Linked DNA regions of Caenorhabditis elegans. The protein of the gene in region 2 interacts with the protein of the main gene of each other region in a pairwise test. Each region holds a gene or a part of one and is shown on either strand. Other genes may lie near its edges. The genes, in order: nphp-1, mig-10 and F42H10.3.

What was found.
Region 1: the proteins of mig-10 (region 2) and nphp-1 interact in a two-hybrid assay, tested with the Caenorhabditis elegans proteins (one large-scale study listed by BioGRID).
Region 3: the proteins of mig-10 (region 2) and F42H10.3 interact in a two-hybrid assay, tested with the Caenorhabditis elegans proteins (one large-scale study listed by BioGRID).

The regions. Positions count from the first base shown.
Region 1 is NC_003280.10:10,647,738-10,654,593, reverse strand, and holds nphp-1 (Nephrocystin-1-like protein), read left to right. Parts: upstream 1-2,337; 5' UTR 2,338-2,364; coding exon 2,365-2,433; intron 2,434-2,955; coding exon 2,956-3,054; intron 3,055-3,307; coding exon 3,308-3,450; intron 3,451-3,506; coding exon 3,507-4,035; intron 4,036-4,085; coding exon 4,086-4,316; intron 4,317-4,494; coding exon 4,495-4,994; intron 4,995-5,072; coding exon 5,073-5,185; intron 5,186-5,230; coding exon 5,231-5,466; intron 5,467-5,527; coding exon 5,528-5,656; 3' UTR 5,657-5,701; downstream 5,702-6,856. Other genes in the region: lact-3 (Beta-lactamase-related domain-containing protein), read left to right, coding at 694-757, 957-1,094, 1,830-2,015; M28.10 (Flo11 domain-containing protein), read right to left, coding at 6,071-6,501, 6,646-6,730, 6,782-6,856. UniProt on the Caenorhabditis elegans protein: Plays a role in the extension of dendrites from phasmid ciliated sensory neurons. May be necessary for initial assembly of the cilium.
Region 2 is NC_003281.10:8,276,742-8,282,654, reverse strand, and holds the start of mig-10 (Abnormal cell migration protein 10), read right to left. Parts: upstream 3,548-5,913; coding exon 3,474-3,547; intron 3,011-3,473; exon of another isoform or gene 2,919-3,010; intron 2,217-2,918; exon of another isoform or gene 2,080-2,216; intron 547-2,079; coding exon 297-546; intron 1-296. UniProt on the Caenorhabditis elegans protein: Required cell non-autonomously for proper development of the excretory canals and for the long-range anterior-posterior migrations of embryonic neurons CAN, ALM and HSN.
Region 3 is NC_003281.10:8,481,572-8,489,215, reverse strand, and holds F42H10.3 (LIM and SH3 domain protein F42H10.3), read right to left. Parts: upstream 5,064-7,644; 5' UTR 5,059-5,063; coding exon 4,889-5,058; intron 4,839-4,888; coding exon 4,754-4,838; intron 4,230-4,753; coding exon 4,137-4,229; intron 4,090-4,136; coding exon 3,993-4,089; intron 2,574-3,992; coding exon 2,475-2,573; intron 1,810-2,474; coding exon 1,696-1,809; intron 1,517-1,695; coding exon 1,323-1,516; intron 1,250-1,322; coding exon 1,094-1,249; 3' UTR 851-1,093; downstream 1-850. Other genes in the region: Splicing factor ESS-2, read left to right, coding at 1-275, 397-760.

The DNA.
Region 1 (6,856 bases), on a different chromosome or scaffold from region 2:
TGCCCGGAAAATCGAAAAAAATGTGTTCAGAAAATTAATCATAAAATTCACGTTAAAAAAAGTCAAATTTGATGGAAAATACATGAGGAAACATATAAATTTATTCTTAAACAAATACAAATAACCAGCATTTTAAGATATTTTTCGTAAAATCGAATCGGAAAAAACGGAAAAAAAAAAAAAAAAACGAAACATTTTCAATTCCGCTATATTTCATTAAAAACTATTGGCTAAAATTCAGATTTCAGCAAAATTCGGTTCTTTTTTCGAAGTTTTAAAATATTTACACTCCATAAAAGTTTTGGCTTTTTTTGTGTAATGTCGCATTATGAAATTCGGTAGTTTCGAGCAAATTTTTGTATATTTACGCAAAAAATTCTGTTACCCAGATCCGAAACTTTGCTATTTTCCCCCAAAAAATACACTACCAGGTCTCGAAGCGGCCGATTTTCTCCAATGCCAAAATTTAAGGATTACTGTAGTTTCCAAATCCTCGCTTCTTTTTGGATTTTTTACGATGTTGCATGTGAAAGTATAAAAAAATAAATGAAATGTTTTAAAATGAGAATTCAGAAACTGCCGTACTCCTTAAAAGTCGCTTCGAGACCTATTGTCATAGTTTTGAGACAAAATCTCGCATCTGACCAATATTTTATGCTATTTCATTTTTTAAAATTCATGTTTTTTTTCCAGATTGGAGCAAGCTGCCGCACTTGGAATGGGAAATGCTCGTTCTCTTGCCTCACTTTTTGACAAGGTTTGTTCTCGTTTTTTTGATAAATTTATGAGAATTTTAAGTTTTTTTTCGTTTTGTTTGAACATCGTTATCAGCTGAAACTAGGCTGATAGCGAAGAAAAGAAATTTTTAAGTCGAACAAAAAAAAAGAAAAAGGAAATTTCCTTGTGACTGTTTAAAAAAACTGAAACAAAAACGATAGTTAAGAGGATTGTTTCAGGTAAATCGAGGAAAACTTCTCAATCAGGCTACACTGAACACGATAAGCAAACCGTTCGTCAACGAGAGTGATTTCATTTTTGATGATACTGTCGCCAAGGGACACGGATTTTTCCATTTGCCCATTCATAGAGCTGGGGTGAGATTTTGAATAATCGAAAGAGGGACGAGGGATGATGGAAATTTTGAACTGAAAAATTTTAAAAAATCCATTTTCACAATAAAAAAACCAAAAAAACCAACAAAAGTCTGAAAAAACTCTTAAAGAACGAAAAAGTCAAAATTCATCCAATAAAGCAGATTTTTTAATTTTTGCCAAAAAAAACTTTTAAAAAATCCATTTTTGCGAAAAAAAAAACCACTGTCCTTTTTCCCATAAAAAATTCAAAAAAATCAATTTTTCTCAAAAAAACCCGAAAAGTACCTTTTTGCTAAATAAACATAAATTAACAAAAATTAACAAAAATTAACAAAAATAACAAAAATTAACAAAATTAAAAATAAATTAAATAAATAAACATAAAACATAAACAGCCAAAAATTAATTTTTGCATTAAAAAAGACTGAAAAATCCATTTTTGTAATAAAATTACAACTGCCGAAAAAAGCAAAAAAAAAAAAATTTTGAAACCCCCAAAAAATTAGCAAAGGACCAAAAAAAAAGAGCCCAGGTGGTGAACAGAAAACGAAAAAACAGGAGAAATTGTTGAAAAACCATTAATTTCGAATTCATTCAAAAAATGAAAATGCATAGAAAAAATATTTAAAACCCTAAATTTAGCTAAAGAACCTGCAAAATGTTAGGAGCGTTTTTTTATTTAATTTTCAGTGAATTTTTTTAATATTTTTCTTTCATAATTCGCCATATTTTCAGACTCAATTCGGCTTCGGACATACCGGGCACGGATGCCAAATGGTCATCACAGATCTCAAGAATCGAGTGACAATTGCCTACGTCACAAATGGGTTGAAAACGGGACTCTACGACTTGTGCAGGACGTACTGGGGACTTCAGACTTCTGTATATGATGTCATCGAACAAATTAATATTCAATCATAATTTATTTTATTTCATTTTTTAATTAGTGATTCCATATAGTTTTAAGATATATCCCAAATCATCCCGCGTGTTCTTTGTACAGTCCGTTTTTAATTCATTCATTCCAAGTGTCGTTCTCTCAATGTTGAAGCTTCTTCCCCCGTAATTAACTGACCGAGTGACCCCACAAAATTGCATATTTATCTGCTCTCTCTCGATTTCCTTACTAATAAACCATCAGTTCACCAGTTTTTAACCACATTTGCGGGGAGCTGGCAGGTGGTAACCCGCAAGTTGCCAGGGGCAACGAGGGTGGCTTAAGGCAAGTGGCCGCGCGGAAAAGAGCTTTCCAGGGGGAGAGGAAAGCAGGATGTCCATATTTGGAAGCATTCTAAGTCTGCAGGATGCCATAAATCGATTTCCGCAGTTTGAATATCAGGTGGGGAATATTAATTGTTAACACGAATTTGAAAAGGAATTCGATTTTTTTCAATTTTTGGATTTTTTTGTAATTTATTTAAAAATTATTATTGTGAATTTTTTAATTTTTCCATTACACATTATTAAATAACTAAAAATTGAATTCGTGGTTTATTGTTCATTTCCAACTAAAAAAATCCCTTCAATACCCAAAAAGTTGCAGTGGGGCGCATTTTCAACGTTTTAATTAAATTTCAAACGTATAATTAAAACTGAGTCTCGTCACAACAGATTTTTGTTAAATGCGGAAAGGTGTGCGTCTTTAAAGAGTACTGTAATTCAAAATTCCAGAATTTTTTTTAAATTTAATGTACATATTTTCATCTAAAAACTATTAAAAAACTAAAAAATTCCTCTGCAACGAAAGTTTGGAATTACAGTACTCTTTAAAGGCACACAACTTTTCGCATTCGACAAAAATTGTCGTGTCTAGACCGTAAACCGTATTTTCAAGGAAAAATAGCAAAAGCCTTTTTTTCAGATAAATCGCCTCGAAAAAGAGCAAAAAGACACCGAAGCCGCGTCGAGAGCAAGTTTTCGCAAACATTTTGTCAGACAGTGCCAGGAATTGCATAGACAGGTAAAAATTGCATTTTCTCTATCTGCCTTATGCCTGGCTGCCTACGGGCCTACCTACCGCCCATTATGGGATCTCCGGTTTGATTCATAGATTTTAGGTCGACCAACTTTCTATTTAATTTCAATTAATTGTTTACAAACATTGAAAAATTGTTAGGCATATGTGTAGACCGTAGGCACTCTGGTAGGTAGGCATTCTCGTGCCTACGTAGAAGTATCATTCAAGGATATCAACATATGCATACAGTTTGCAGCTCGACGATCACCGAAATCGAATTGAAAAGGCCAAAACTGACGAGACCTACAAGAAAGAAAACGCTCTAGAGCAACTTGACAAGTTGAAGCAAAGATTGACAGCTTTGAGCCCGGAAAAGGAGCAATTATCGTTTTCTGTCAGGTAAAATTATAATTAAATTCAATTTCTCTAATAAATAGTTAAATATTCAATTCCAGTGTGGACTCTCAATCAGAAGAAGAAAAACCGAAAATGGCTGCAATTGGCCGCCGAAAAAGCACAATGTATAACGATGATGAATCAGAAGATTCTGATAATGATTCAGAAATTATTGAGACGGATGTTCAGCTGGATGATCCTCTTCCGAGTCAGCCACAGCCTCCACAGCAACAGCACCAGCAACCTCAACCAAAACCCAGACAACCTATCACAATTACAAAACCTCTTGAATCAAAGACTTTGAATGAACGTCAAGAACTTGATGAAGTCATCTCAAGGCTTCAGAATCCGAGTCGTGGAGATTCTGGAGAAGTTATGGAACCAGTTGTAGTCCGTGGCAATGTTTTTGTTGCAATTGACAGTTGGGATGCAGAAGCTGAAGGGGATTTGGAGTTAATCAAAGGAAAGAAGTATCGAATCACACAGACAAGATCCGATGGTTGGTGGACTGCACTGGATGAATATGGTCAGAGGGGTCTTGTGCCAAAGACTTATTTACAACATGTTAAGGAAAAGCCGAAGAATGTGGTTTGTTACTTTTCTCTAGTATCGTTAGTTTAATAAGTAGAAATTTTCAGCCATCAAAAGTGTCTAGTCGCCTCGGAGTTCGAGATTCGGTGATCGGAATATCTACGACTACTGATCCATCAAGACGAGAAGCAAACCGGCAGGCATCTCGAGTTGATGACTGTCTTGGTAAAGCATATGACAATGACACTCACTTGTCACTAGTGTGCCATATGGCTCCGAGACTATCAACTTCAAATATTGGATTTCATGATCTTTTTTGGAGTCATTACAAGGATCAGGTAAAAGTTTAAAACTTGCAGTTTCTACCCAAAAAATGCTACAGTTTTGCCAAAAAACCTCTGAGTCTTCCTAAAAACGGCTGAGAAAATTGCTTTAAAAATTTTTACTATGAATCATTTGCTACTCATAGCAACACATTTTTTGCTCACTTTCATAAATCAACTATATTTTTTGCAGGTTTACAAGCGAACTGTCCATATATCAAAAATTATCCGTCTAGTTCGATTTGAAAAGATGCCCCTAATCGAACACAAGGCACTTGTCAGAATGGCTCTTGTCGACATCACAAATCCAAAATCCACTCAAATTGTGAGCAACGTGCACACTCTTGTGCCACGTGTCAAATCTTCAACGTGGTACTTTGAGAAAAAAGAGAGCCAGACGAGAAGCTGCATCGAGTTTTCTGATTTTGTTCTCCGCTCAAACTATCGATCTCCGACAGTGGTACTTGTTGTGGAAGCATCTCATTTGGTGAAGACACAAATAGGAATTGAGGAAAAGAGTTTGGGACATACATATCTGCGACTGATAATTGATGATAAAGCAGTGCCAAGTAGAACGAATGTTTTGTATTTGGATGATGAAGTGATGACAAAAATGAAGTTGCCGGAAGCTTCGAAAAGAAGAGTTCTGGTTCAAGTGATGGATGTTCCCAAGGATAAGGTTTCATATGTGGAGTGAGTTTTGGAAACTAAGAAAGCTGAAAATCTGGATCCCTGACCTGACTTTAAGTTCAACCCAAATTATTTTTCCAGCTCCCTCCCCGATGTCATAGTATTCAATGCTCTTTATTTACCATTCTTCCACTTTTACCGCCGACGAGCTGGAACCATTTTAATTCGGGACAATCGGAATCCATTGAGTGCTGGTAGGATTTCATACCCACCCAAACAATATTTTGAACTAATTTCAGAATTTATATCTGACCCACTTCTCTCTGTATTCCCATTTGTTTGTGACCAGCATGACATTATGGATATAATGCTGAAAATTTGGAAAACCAAAAAGAAAGTGCTCGCCAAGAAAAACGAAGCTGAACAAACTGCCGAGTTCTTCCAAACTTTTCTACACACCGCGTTTTTTATTCATGGGATTCGAATGATTTCGTATGATGTCAAAGATGATCTTACTCTTTCGATTAGGCAACAGGTAGAGCTGCTGCTCTTGGAGCTCGTTTCAAAATCAGGCTTCGATTATTGTAACATTTCAGACTATGCAACGATTTGTGGATGCATTGAATAAGGGACTTTTCAAGCAGTTCATCGCAGATCAACAATGCAAACCAATCAATATTATCGATTATTCATTGGATCTTTTAGGCAATCATTCTATTGACTAATTTATGGAGATAAAATTAAGCTCAATAAAAAATTTAACTGTGTAATAAGTTCTACTCATCTAGCATCTAAGCATAGAAATGTTTCAGTCATTGTTTCAGTAAATTTCAAGTTTTGAAATTTTTGGTTTTGAAATTTTTGGTTTTTTTGTTTAATATTTGAATAATTTAGAGTCGACTCCCAAACATAGGAGTGGTAAAACTGAGCAATGGCCATTTTTCAGTTGTAAATTTTCACACTGTACCCTCTCAAAAAATGGATTTGAAATGAAATATGTTTATTCGCAATAATGAATAAAATTGGGCGATTTTTCAGAATCACAGCCTCATCGAATTTATTCCATTAAGGGGTTTTATTACATCATGAAATTCTGCGAGCTGACGATCAGGATGTGGTTCTGAGAAATCTAAGAGTTCCTAAACTGGCTTGCCGCTGATTACAGTAGCGGCAGCGGAAGAAGCTTCAGGTGCGGCGGTAGAGGCCTCGGAAGAAGCAGCGGTTGATACCACAGAAGCTCCACTTGCAGTAGTATCTCCACCAGCTGTGGATGCAACGGATGCATCGGTTGCTCCAGAGACAGTAGAACCTGGTGCATCAGTACTCACTGGAGCAGCAGTACTTCCACCAGTCGGCTGAGTTCCTTGAGACACGGTACTTCCGTTGTCAGTCACAGGGTTTACAGTGGAGACATCGCTGGCAGTTGTGGATGGAGCAATGGTAGACGGAGCAATAGTGCTTGGAGGTGAGAAGCATGTGTAGCTGGAGTTTACATTTTGTTGGAAGCAAGAAATTGAGTTGTAAAGCAATGTGGCGGTTGTGTTGGCGTTTGCTGATGCGGTAAGTAGGTCTGGAAATAAAATGGAATACGGGAAATTTCAAATGTGAGAATTGAATTTAAGAGCACACCTGGTCAGAAAAATTTACGAACTCCAAAAATATATGCATTAACTTAAAACTTTTAAACTACAGTACAGACTTCCTGCCTATTTACCTGATGCATTATTACTAGCAACTTGAACATTATCATTCAAGCTCTGACCAGTTGCATTGACCACTGTGAAGTTCGCATTAAAACCCTGAAATCAATTGCTCAATAGTCTAGAAAAGCTTAATTGGCACAAATTTACTTTTGTGAAGGCACATGCACCGGTGTCATTAAATTTCAAAATTGTGGAATCCAATTTTGAGAGACTTGAAGCAAT
Region 2 (5,913 bases):
AAATGGAAATCAGATTTTTGAGAATCCGAGAATTTTTTAGAAAAAAAGTCAAATTAAAATATTAAAAACCGGTTTGAATGGAAAAATATTCTACGACCAATTGAAATTTTAGTTTTAATTTCAAAAAATGCACATCAACAATTTTTATAAAAGTTTGTTACTTCTGAAGTTAGCAGTGTTTAAACAACATTCAATAAAAGGCTTTTAATATTGATATTCTATGAGATGAACTATGCGGTTTTAGAAAAAGTGAGAGTAAGTTTGCTCTCCAGCTTCAAAAGTTCAAATCTACTCACCTCGAAATTTTCAGTTTTTTCTACAGGATCTTTAGATTCTTCGTCATCTGCCGTCTCAGCAATATCCTCTTCTGTATCGGCTTCTAACTCGTTCTCCTCTTCAATATTAGCACAAACCTTCGGAAACTGTTGCTCTTCGAGCACGTTCAACAACGGAGGAGGCCGTTCAACTTCGTCGAGTTCCAAATTAATAGCGTTGCTCAAAAGTGTGGACGAGGAAAGTGGTAGAAGACTTGAGAGCAGGGAAATGCTGTAAAATGAATGGAATTTATTGGGAATGCTTTCATGTTTACATAAACGAGAATGCATTCTTTAAGTGGATCAATTTGAAAAATGGAACACATCAATGGAATTTAGAAATTTGTTGTGTTTCTCTTAGAAAGTAATTTTGTTAGAAACCTCTCCAAATGGGAAAAACTCAAATATCATAGTAAATCTTTTCAAAAAACTTGTCTGAATTTTTAATTCAAATTGTGTTGTGAAAACTTAGTTTGCACCTATCATAATTTCAAGTGTGGCAGATTTTTGTTTCTATGAGTTTTTATACTTTAATTGCCTTTTTTTTTATTTGCATATATTGCTCTATTTCAACATTCTGAGGACGAACCAATGCTCGAAATTACTTAGAATGCCCATATTTTTGGAACATTTCGTAAATTACCAAAACATTGAATGTAAGTTTTTTAAAAATTGAAAAAAGGGCTTTTCTGAATCAACTTCTCTATTTTGAATTCACATTTAAAATTGAAAGAATATTTCAAGTTTCTAGAATTGAAAAGTAGATGGCACTTCATAAGAAAAGAAAGAGGAACAGGGAACAATCTGCCAACATTTTTGATGAATTGCTCCCAAACAAAGAGTGAACGACAGCATTTTGATGGACAAAGAGAGAGTCAAAGGGGTCAAGAAAGTGAACATACTCTACCATGACAAGGCTGTTCTCTTCTGGTGATTCAAAACTGAAAGGTTTGAAGCAATTCGAAACTGACGGAAAGGACACGCTCCGGTAAAAACGATGAATGAACATCAGAAATGGAACACACATGGCAACAACACGGACCGATGAACACCTGGCTAGCCACGAGGATTTGCCGGATTTTCGAGGATTTTAGTTAGTTCATAAACAAATTGGGGTTTGGATGGTGTTAATTAGAAATTTTTTGATAGTTTTTTGTAGAGAGGGCTTGAAAACGTTATTGAAAATCCATGTGAGCTATATAAAGTTTTTTCAACTTTTTGATAGATGATTTTCTGGTTAATGTTTAATCTATGACTTGTATATTTTTGTTGTTTTTTCTATTTTTTCTATTTTTCACAGTACAAAATTATTTTTAAAAAATCTATTTAGAGATTCAGGAGAAATGATATCAATTTTGGCAAACTTTCATAACTTTTAGACGCCATTGCGAAATTTTACTAATGGTTATTGAAAAATAATCGTTTCGCGGACTTGAAGTTATGTAGCTCTTTCTTTCTTGTCATTCTTGAAAAAAATTCACCAATTTTCTCCGTTTTTCTTCCAACTTACTTAGTATCTTGGTTACCTTTTCCTAGACCTCCCCGACTTTCAAACTTAATTAGACCACACTTGCAACTATCTTTAAAAATTCAGAGAATTTCACTTTCATGGCCAAGAGCAGCAATAAAAGTCAGAAAAGTGAAAGAAAAGAGAAATAGAGTGCAACACAGAAACAAGAATGGACAAGAGAACGGACAACCCATTGTTTCAGAATGTCGTTCCTTTTCTCTGTGTCTCTTTTGAATTCATACACATGTTCCATGAAACATGCTCGCGCACAGATTGAAATGAACAGAAAGAGACGAGGAAGAGTGCGAATGATTTATTCATCAATGCTCTGGTATGTTCAGAGCTTTGCAACAAATGAAAAAGAGCACAAATGGAACATTTCTGAATAATATTGATTCGTAACTTAACTTTGCTTCATAACTTTAGAACATCTTGAAAAAATTGCACAAAAAAGAGTTTTGTCTGTCGTTTGGGAAGTAGAGTTGCGTTGTGGAGACATTATTTTTCCTAGGGCTGAGTAAGGCTGAGTAATCTAGTATCCTACCAAATAATTTAGATAATTTTTTAAAAAGGCTGCGGTTTCTTTGGAGAAATTACATGAAATAAAAAGTTCTGAACACTTCAACACACATTCAAAAGTTTTGTTACATTCCGATCTAAGCTATAAGTCATATTTTTGGAAAACCAACAAAAAATTCTGAACGAAAATCCAGTAGGTTTCAAGGAAAACCGTACAGCCAACAAGAAAAGATCATAGAAAATCACATCTGGATGGCCTTCCGTTCTATTTCTTTTGCCGGATTGTCACTAAATCATCTGCGAATGATAAATGACCGTAACCAAAGAAAACTAATCAAGTGTATAGAATACGGGAAATGAGGTCATTGGAAAAAAGGCCTAACTGGAAATTAGGCTGAAGCTACTGCTAATACTAGTGTTACGAAACACGACAAGAAAAAGTAATCAATTCAGAAGCATCGCCAATAAACCAACAAATAGAACATATAATCAAGTTATCTGAATGCACGAGATAGGCGTAAAGGACGTACGAACATGCCAGCTTAGAGATTATAGGAAATTGTGAGTCACAGACAAAAACGCAAGTTGAGATAGCAATCTTTTGCTCGATGAGGGTGAAGGTCCGGTCAACTGATGACCACTAAAGATAGACACAACATACTACCAAAGCTTTATAAAAACGAATAATTGGAAAAATAGGAAAATTTGTTAGCGATAAGAAAAATTTGAATTATCCAAATGTGAATGTAAAGATAGCCTGCCAAATTTGAAAAAAAAACGCATCTTTGTGAACATTTTACAAAACTACAATAAAGATGGTTTAGCTTTTGTCAAAACATACCAACAAAAAAAACACTATAATTTTCGAAACACTAAATGTTTTATGATTTTTGGAAAGTTTTATTTTTCCGTTCTTCAAACTATTCAGTGACTCGATTTTTTTCCAAACCTTTTTTCTATAAAATAAAAAACTTTACCCATTTTCCATTTAACATCTAAACGTTTCAAATTGGCTAAGATCAAACGGCAAACACTTGAAAAGTGTGCATAAGGTAATTACGAGAAACCATTTGGGAGTCAAGTGTTTACGGACCACTGACATTTCTTTGGTTACCACAATAAGAACTCACCACTTTTCACCAAAAAGTTGATCTTCTTCGTCACTGTCAACTTCCAGATCGCATTCCTCTTCGCAACTGTCCATATTGGCTGAAATTTTGGAATTCAATCTTGAATAAATGTAACAAAAAGAAAATGGATCTTCTGAGACACAAAGTTTACCGGAAATGTACATGTAGCTTTGTTTTAGAGTTGAAACTTGAGAAGTCGTATAAGAAAGAAGGAAAAAATTGGAAGGGAAAGGAAAACTTTAAGGGGTCAAAAACCTTTTTTAAAGAAAAAAAACTGAAAAAATTCGTCAAATCAAAAAATCTAGCATCAAAAATTGCTCGTTTTTCGACTTTTAGAAATATCCAAAGTATTTGCCCAAACTTGCGCAAATAATATTTGTATACTAAATTCTGAATATCTAGTTTTCAATCAGCAGGAAACAGACTTTTATTGAATTTTTTTCATAGATTTCTCTAGTTTATTGTCACAATAAATCCACTTTTTCTAGTCTTAAAAATATGTATTGTATGTAGAACAATCTTTTTATTCTCAAGTTAAAAAATTATGAACCCTTGCAATCTAGAAAAAATTCAAAACACGACTTGTCAAGCTAATCCAAATAAAACAATAACAAAAACAAAATTGAGATTTCCGCTCTCTAAATACCGTATTTTCCTATGTTTGAACCACACTACTCTACATTGACGGCTTATATTTCAGTGGTTTAAGCTCAACGAAAAACTGTTCAACTATACAAATATAGCAAATTATTTGACACCTACTTTTACAGTTTAAAATGTCTCAATAAAATATAAGAAGACCGAGATATTTATGAGTTGTTAAAGTAGAGCAAAGTGATGCAAGGCCAAATTTGAGTGTGTGGTCTAAAGTTTTTAAGACAGAAGGAAAACCCAATTGACCACTAAATAATCTACACCAAATTTTCTTCCGTCTCCTCGAAAAAACAACAACATCTGCATAAAAAAGTGATTGACCTTCCCTCTGTCGGGATCGTTGCTAACAAAGTGCAAAAGCGATGATACAAGTCAAGGGATACCCCCCTCCCCCGCACAACAACAAGAAAGAATAAAAAAGAAGGCGGGGACAGCAAAGAGGGACACATATATCTCTTCCGCGCGGAAAGAAAGCGGCAAAAACGTACTAATGCGCGAGAAAAGAAGCAGAAGAAGCATATAATGACCTTTTTATGATAAAGTCTCGTGGGACAACCGGACCATCAATATGGTATTGAGTATAGAATATGCAAATTTTGGTTGAATAGAAAAACGAAGAGAAAATGGAACAGAAGGAGAGTTCAGAGTGCGCAAATAATGGAAGGAACGCGCGTAATCTGGAAGAGTTGACATAAAAAATAAGAGGATTATTCATAATTGAGTCGCTCGGCACGATACGGTAAGGAAACTATAATGAAGAAGATTACAAGACAATCAAAACTAGAACTTTTAAAAAAGTTTTCAGAAAAACTTGGTAGCAGTAAGGTAGTTATAGGTAAGTAAGGTATAGAGCACATTCTGAAGTTGGAAATTTCAAGTTTTTTTTTTTTTGAAAAAAAAGTGAAGTTTCTGCTGAAACCATAGAAAACTATAGTTCAAATTTCCCGAAAATAATTACAGTTAGCGTCGCCAAGTTTAGCCAAGATAAATGAGTATTTTATGCAAGAATTTTTGTAAAACTTCCAACCGAAAAGCTATTTGTACTTCAAAAATGTTTATTCAACTCACCCTCCATTATGTAGATGAGTTGATGGTTTTTCACAATTGGAATGAACACATAGTAAGACTACTCTACAGATAGAGTTGAATAAAAATGTTCTGCTTTTCAACTATTTAGTCATGATCGTTTAAGACAAAGGACAAAAGCAAGTTTTGAAAATTCGACCAATAAGACTGATTTAGAGCTGACCATTTCTGCATGTCTTGAACAAAAAATGACATAATATGGTCACAACTGGAAGAAAAAACTGGCAACGGAACGACTCAAGTAACCTAACATTTTAGAAACGTTCCACCATTCTGAACACCATTCAAAACTTAAGCTCTATGGCTCAGGCTGCAATTTAAATGGGAAATGAGCCGAGAAACAAGCCTATGAAGAATTGAATGGCTGCTGACCCATGCTCCAGAAACTCCAATTAGTCATTTGCTAACCTCAATCACGGGGGGTCTCGGCTGCAGCGTTTTCGAAAACTAATTGGTCCTCCTTCTTTCTCGCTAACAGGATAATATGGACATGTTGGGATGGAACAGAAGAACAAGAGAAAACGTTCAGAAAATGTAAAATCCATTGAGAAAGTGACTATAGTTATGATATTTATAAGGAGGTAGAAGGTGAATAAATTATAAAAGTAGGCATTTGAATGGAGGAACGGTGAGTCATCGGGAAAAAAGTACTGCCCGGAGTGGAATAAATAGGTTAGTTGGTAATTTTCTTGTAGGGAAA
Region 3 (7,644 bases), 210 kb from region 2:
GTAACTCCAGCCAACTCATTCAAATTACTCGAAACACCGAATCCAAATCCTGACGACATGGATTCTCCTCTTATGACTTGGGGAGAAATTGATGGAACACCATTCCGACTTGATGCGCCTGACGTTACAGAGCATTCGTTGCCTGGTGCGGCGCCTGTATTCAAGATACCAGAGGTTCCGTATCGGGAGAAAATTGCACAATCTATGAATGATTCAATCGCGGCCAAATATAGAGACAAGAGAAAAGTTGCGATGAGAGCAGCTGAAGGAGCTCAGTGAGTTTTCATTTTTCAATTAAAAATTGTTTATTTTTTCAAGTTATAAAATATATTTCTCTATGGTATTAAAATCTATAACGAGATAATAGTACTTCAAATAATTTTCAACTTGGTAAAGTTTCAGCCGAACACCTGGATTTGGATCCAAGCGAGTCTCAGACAAGCTTGCACAATTATCTCCTGCTGCTCAAAAGTTGGCAACCAAGAAGCTTGGATTAAAAATGTTACCTGCTCACAAATCTCCTTTCGCCTCGCCGAAAATCATGTCGAATTGGTCAAGACCGTCAAGTTCAAAGCGATCCACAACTCCTGGTTCTGCATGGAGTCGTGGTTCTACTACACCTGGATCATCTTGGAGCCAAGGAGCACAAACTCCTGGCACACCTGGGATTGAATCTATGATCCGAAGAAAAGGGGATAACGTCGGACCTTCAACATCAGCCGGAGCTGCAGATAGAGCAAATGCTGGAGACTTTTTCTAATATTATAAGATTAGTATAATTTAGATCTGTATATTTTGTTCTCATGTGCCTTATAGACACGGTTTATTATTTATGACAATGGCCTAATAATTGATAGTAAATTCATTTATTATAATTTTTAATTTTTAAATTTCAGCACCATATAACATTTTAGAAGATTGAAAAACAAATGGAGAAAAGGCATTCAGAAGGTGAACAGAACCCGTTTGTGGGATTTTCAGAAAGTTGAAAAAATAACTGCAGAAGCCTGAAGCATAATTGAAGCATTTAGGGGAAATGTGTGAGCAAGAGCAGGTCATGGAGAGATAGAAAATGTGCGTGGGTTTGGAAATATTAAGAAAGTCGGTGCAATCCGGTAGGAAGTTTATGTGGTTGAACATAATTTGCAGGTAGCATTCCCCATTGAAGAGTTCGTTGAACTGTTCCTGTCATCCATCCATCATCAATTTTCTCGCAGTTCACGATGATATCACCTTCGAGGAATGAAATCTGGAATCAAATATTTTAGATGGTTGAATAAATTTTCATCGTGAAACTGGTTGAAAACCTAATTTAAATTTACCTCGTCTTTATCAGCAGCAGCGTAATCATAAATTGCCTTAACTGCAAATCCAGCTTTTCCAGTCGGTGAAATTGTGCTTTGTGGAGAAGAAAGTGTTGAATGTGGAGATGTTGAAGATATACTATTTGATGATGGAGGTGGAGCTCCTGCAAAATCCGCACAAAATCTTGCCGGACCTTTATCCACTTGAGCCTCTGCAACAAGCGGTTAGTTTCAATTAATGACAGATCAAAATTATTCAAAATGAGCTTTTTAAAAGATTATTTCTTCCACAAAACGAATTAATAAGTACCAAAACGTGCAAAAAATTTGTGTGGATTACAAATGAGCAAATCATTCAAACAAAAGCCAAAAAAAAAAACAAAATCCTTACTCAAATATCCAAGTTTCTCGGAATTTCTCGGTTGAGCAGCAGCTGTACCCCATTGTCCGTTCATTGGATCATAGTCAGCAATACTTCCGATTGATTTTTGTGGTGTTGGAGATACTGAAAGCGAAGAAAAATAACAATGCACAACACAAAAGCTTTTAGAAAATTACACATGAAGCACAACGAAAAATTTGGACTTTATATAACTAGATACCATAAATTAGACAAGGCTTAGGCTTGGCGTCAGTGGGGGAGCGTTAGCTCCCCCACTGACGCGCGATAAAAGTGGCTATTTAGGCTGAAGCCGCGCCATACCGCCGGTGTGTCATAAGGATTTCCAATATTTTATTCCAGTTGGGCATCCTAGTATGTTTTTCGGCCCTTTAGGCTTAAGTGTGTCATAAGGATTTCCAATATTTTATTCCAGTTGGGCATCCTAGTTTTTTTTCGGGCCCTTAGGCTTAAGTGTGTCATAAGGATTTCCTATATTTTATTCCAGTTGGGCACCCTAAGTCTAAATAGCTCTTTTTCTTTTCTTTTGCGCTCCAAGCGCAAGGAAAAACCTTATTGTAACTTTTTAAGAGGTTAGGCTTAGGCTTAGGCTTAGACTTAGGCTAGGCTTAGACTGAGACCTAGCATTATCTTAATTTTTGGTCAAATAATGTATCCGTACAAAAATCAGCAACAAAATCAGCAATAACTTTTATAGGCATTCAATCAGTTTTTCAATACACAAGGTGCTCTTTTTGGATGCTCATTAATCAATTCAATTGCTAACTAACCTGCTCCACCTTGCTCTGTTGAGTAGATCAAATGCGTATTTGCGGCTACTGCTTGTGTTGGAGCCGAATATGATTGATGGTTCATTGGAGAGATTGGAGCTGCAATAAATGGTTAGTGGAAAAAAAAAGTGAGTTGAAAAATGGAGAAGATTGATTTGTTGGAAATAATTCTTTAATTAAATGTATTCTTTATTGAAAAAATCAGTTTGTCATGGTTAATGTAGGATTTGAATAGATAGAAAAATAATAGTCATGATCAGAAATCGAACTGAAAGGAAAATTAAGCTTTAACAGTTTTGGCTGGCCCTTTCTTAAAAGTCGATTTGACTGCTTTCGGCTTTTGGTCAATAACTGGGACGGATGGAGCTGGAGTGGGCTCAGTGGGTTGTGGTGGAACAACAACACCTGAAGGTGTATTTTGTATGAAACAAATGAAGAGATTTGAGAAATAAGTGAACATTAGGACATTGATATGACACGAAAAGAAGTTGAAAATTAAAGTTCAATCTAAAAAGTATTTTCACTCAAAGCCATTTTGGAAAGTTTTCTATAATTCTATATACTAACTGAATGAAGAATTCAGCTTTCTAGAAACAACACTGCAAGTTTGCTTTTTCAATTGTAGAACATCTAAGATATTCTTCTTTAAAAACAGTGTTATTTTTTTAGAAGAAAACTCTGTTATCTGTTTGGCCTAAAAAAGTATGTACCTGGCTGAAAAGTTGGCAAAGTTTAGTCCAAATCTGGACAAAACTTAAGTTTAGATTAACCTAATCCTGATAAAAATATTTGATTCAAAATTTGTCATGTCAAATTTGGCTATATATATTGTTAGACCAATTTTGGACTGAATATTGGCGCGACCTAGAGCAACAACCAAGTTAATACTTTTGCCAAAATTTGGCAAGAACTTGTCCCACATAGTTTTTACAATTTTCAATAAGCGAGAGTCTTTAGTAATTTTCTTTCAGCTTTGAGCAAGAACACTTTAAGATTGATTATAAATATCTGCTCTAGAATTATGGCTAGCTGAAAAAAGCAAAGATGAGGTAGAAGAAAACAAACAAAACGTATCTAATCTAGATATCGATATACCATATTTCCCCTCAAAATGTGCCAAAAGTGTACAAAATGTTTCCAGTACAGTTTCAGAGAATATGGTAAATATGAAAAAAGAAACATTGAAAACTAATTCTAAAAAAAAAGCGAATTCTATCTAGGATATACAATCACCGGAATTTGCCAATAATCATCGTCTTCTTCTTCCTCATCAACTTCTTTTTCTTCATACTTCTCTTCAGTTTCTTGAACCATTGCCACTCCAATTCCATACACAACTCCTCCATTTCCAGTGACCAGTTGATAAACTGGCAGTAAAAAGCGATACAAAAACAATAAGAGAAAAGTGAGGAAAATTGAAAAAAGAATTAAAAGTTTTTCCCGTGCAAGACTTTTGACATAACTTGGACGATACAATTCTCAAGTCCATGGGGACAACAAAATGGAAGAACAACTTACTTGGAGTTGGGTTTGGTGAGATTTCCTCTTTTGGACGGACTTCTTCTTGACGAGCTTTTTGGTCGAGAACTCCGTGATAGGAAACATTTGATTGAACCTTAAAATAGCATTATTCTATTCTATCTTTAAAAATTTATTTCCAACCTGAGTATTTTTCTTCAGTCTTTCCATCTCTGGATCATCAGCAATTTCGATCTTTGTTCCCTTCATTTTCTCGTATTCGGCGTGGTATTTGATCTAAAATTTCAGATTATGAAAATTTGAAAATCAGTTATAGGAAGTAGCAGGTTTTATTGAATAAAACTAGCTATTTTGTTTATAGTTTTTTTTGTGTTTTTTCGAAATTTTGGAAACTCGAAGAATTTGAAAATTTCGTATATTTTATAAACTCAAATTTGAGTTAATTTTTACATTTTTAGTATGGAAAATTCTCATTATATACTAAGATGAACATTATATTAGAACTCTTCAAGAAAACTTGATTTACAGTAGTTTCCGTGGCGAGATCCTTTTTTTGAGAATCCATAATTTGACACCACTACAAATTTTTTAAGTGCCGAATTCGACAAAATTTATTTGTGTAGATTTTATAATATTTTTGATTTTGATTTTACAAATATTTTACAGATATTTTTTGGAAGAATTTTAAAAACTCTTTACAATTTTTGGGATAACATTCTCAAATGTTATATTTTTTAATTATAAATGAGATTTATGGGGAGACGATTTATTTTTTCTCTAAATTTTTTGCAAAAACTTACGTTACTCTGATTTTTAGTATTCTCTGCGATTCTTCTCATTTCTGGAGTATCCGCCATCACTGAAGCCACGGTTTTTGGATAATGTCTGAAAATAGTTGAAAATTTAGAAATTGAAATATTCTCATAAAAACTAACGGATCACAATACGGTCTCTTGTCGTATCCCTTATAGTTTTTCATATTCAATGTCATTCCGCAAACAGTGCATTTGAAGCATTGCTTGTGCCAAACTTTATCAAGACATTTCAGTTCCTCAACTGGATATACCGTCTTCCCGCAATCTTCGCGAGCACACTTTTTGCTCATTTTCTGGAAATAAAAACTGTAGAATATGAAGATTGAAGATATTTGAATAAACTAGAAAAAAATACAAATAGAAATCATAATAATGTTTTTGTAAATTGGCAAAAATTGGTAAAATTCATAAGAGTTTTGAGAATTGTCACATATTTTTACCCTATCAGAATAAAAACATATATTTTTGGGTTTATAAAATTATGTGTGGTAAAATTAAAAGTTGCCAGTTTAAATAAATCAAATTTGGGTTTTTCGGAAAATTTTAATATTAAATCTGTCAATTTGAGGTATTATCTTTGCTGAACCTTAATCTTTATAATTCTAACTTTTAAGACAAAACAAAATTTTTTTTTAATTTATAATTTGGAAATACTTTCCAAATTCTATGCTTTTTGGAAAGTTTCACCCTTGGACGGGAACGAAAGTTGTATGGCATAAATGATAGATAAGGCGAAACAAAGAAACATAGACAGATAGAGTAAATAAATTGAATGGTTAGGTTAGGTTGGATGTAGAATGGTAGGAAAATGACGGATAGACAAAAAAATGTATGAGTAAAAGTAAACGAGGCGAGAAACGAACGAGGGATGAAATGGGCGGATAGGGTGATTGTACAAAGATTTCGGGTAAAAAATTGAGAAATAGCGGGAAAGAAGAATGTGTTATTTATTCATGGAGCCCCCTTCTTCACTCCCCGACAAGACACTACACACAACTCTCACACATTTATGTTTGTGCTCATTTTGACTTTCCATACTCACATTGTTATCACACATATCAGTGAAATCAGGGAACTTGGTTTGTTTTGGCAAACGATTAAGTTGCGGTAAACGTATTGTTGGTTTGGGAAGAAAATGAAAAATGTATTATAATATATGAACAAAAGTGTAGTGGAGGCGATATGAATAATATAATAATATTTAATAATATATATATATATATATATATATATATATATATAATATTTCCCGAAAATTTAAATGTCCTCCATTTCTTTTTTTGCGATTTTCGGAGCCCAACTATAGTTTTTGCTTCAATTAATATTCAATTTTACAGAGAACCGGAAAAATTATTTTGATTTGAAGGAGTTTTTGTTTTAAATGTTCGGTAAATTACGAAATAATACTTTTATAATGAGTCCAAATTTCAAAAAAATGAGCAGGCATCTGTCCATTTTTGAAAGTAGTTCAAAAGGATTGTAGATGACCTCTCAAGAAACTATTAAAAAAGAAGAAGACGAAGCAAAGGGTACTAGTCTATTGAGAAGCTCATTTTCGAAAAAGTAGTTTTGAGTTTAAAATAGCTCCCTCCACATAAGAAAGATACGGGTCGCATCCTCGGAGCCGGCGGCGAAGAGAAGATGGGGAAGCGGTGTAAAGTGAAAAGTGAACACTTGGAAGAAGCCGTGCATACAACATGTTGATGATGCATCATCATTTTGTATGAAATTTCAAACGTTTTTTTTTTATATTGAAACCCAATTTGGAAAAAAAATGTATTGAAGCTGAACGGAATTCGAAAAATGTGCAAAAAACGACGTTGAAAAACTTTTGTAAGTTTTGTTTAAAATTGTTTGTAAATTTTTCTAGGCAATTTGAATAAACCGCAGGCTTAGGCACCAGAAAAGAGACATATTTACCCAAGAACACATGATTTTGGTTTTTTGCAATCCTTGATAGAAACTTAAACAAATATATTGTTTGAAATGGGAACAAGCAGTTTCAGAAAATAACAGAAAATTGGCAGAAGGCAGGCAGGCAGGCCGGCAGGCAGGCAGGCGGAACGTAGGAATGTAAAAAATGTATCGGGAGTTATTATCACAAATCTTACGGTTTTTCGGTATTTTTAGAAATCCGAAAAATTGGAAAGTTTTGTATTTGGTTGTACAATTTTCAGGGGTTTCTCCTTACGGTTTTTGTAAAAAATCAATGCTGCACCCTTGGCAGGTGAATCTTTCAATTAATTAAAGCGAGATGTTGAGGAGACAGTAGGCAGGTAGTAGGCAGGCACGTGAAACCCTATTGAAAATAGTCGTTTGGTTTCGGATCACCTCTATAATGGAAATCCGACTTTGTGGCTTCAAAAAGACGCGAGAGAATCGAATTTCTAAAAAGTGATGTTGATTGGAATAAATTAATATTGAGAACCGGAAGATTTGATTTATCCTCATCACGTCCAAGCAGCTAAAGAATTGTGAGAATTTCTTGAGAAACAAACAGAGAGGATTGCGGGGGCAGTAGAAGATGAAGGAAGAGGGCAGGTTGTCTTCCATTCTCTTCTGTTGGTCACTCCTCGTTGTAACACAAGAAGAAGAAGCTGGTGAGATGGAGAGGAAAGGGAATAAAATCCAGGATGGATTATCTGCTGGACACTGGGACAAAGTTTTAGATAATTAGAAATGTAATAGAGAAATTTAGATATTTTTTCTAAAAACAGACTGGAAGTACTTTCCGTTTCATTCTATTGTGCACCAGTTAAATTGCCTGAAAAGATTCCAATTTTAACGGAACATTTTGTCAGCTCAAGATTATTTAGGATAATATTTTTGTTTTAAGAAAAACTTGTCAATTGAAGACATTTTTTCAACTTTTTTAA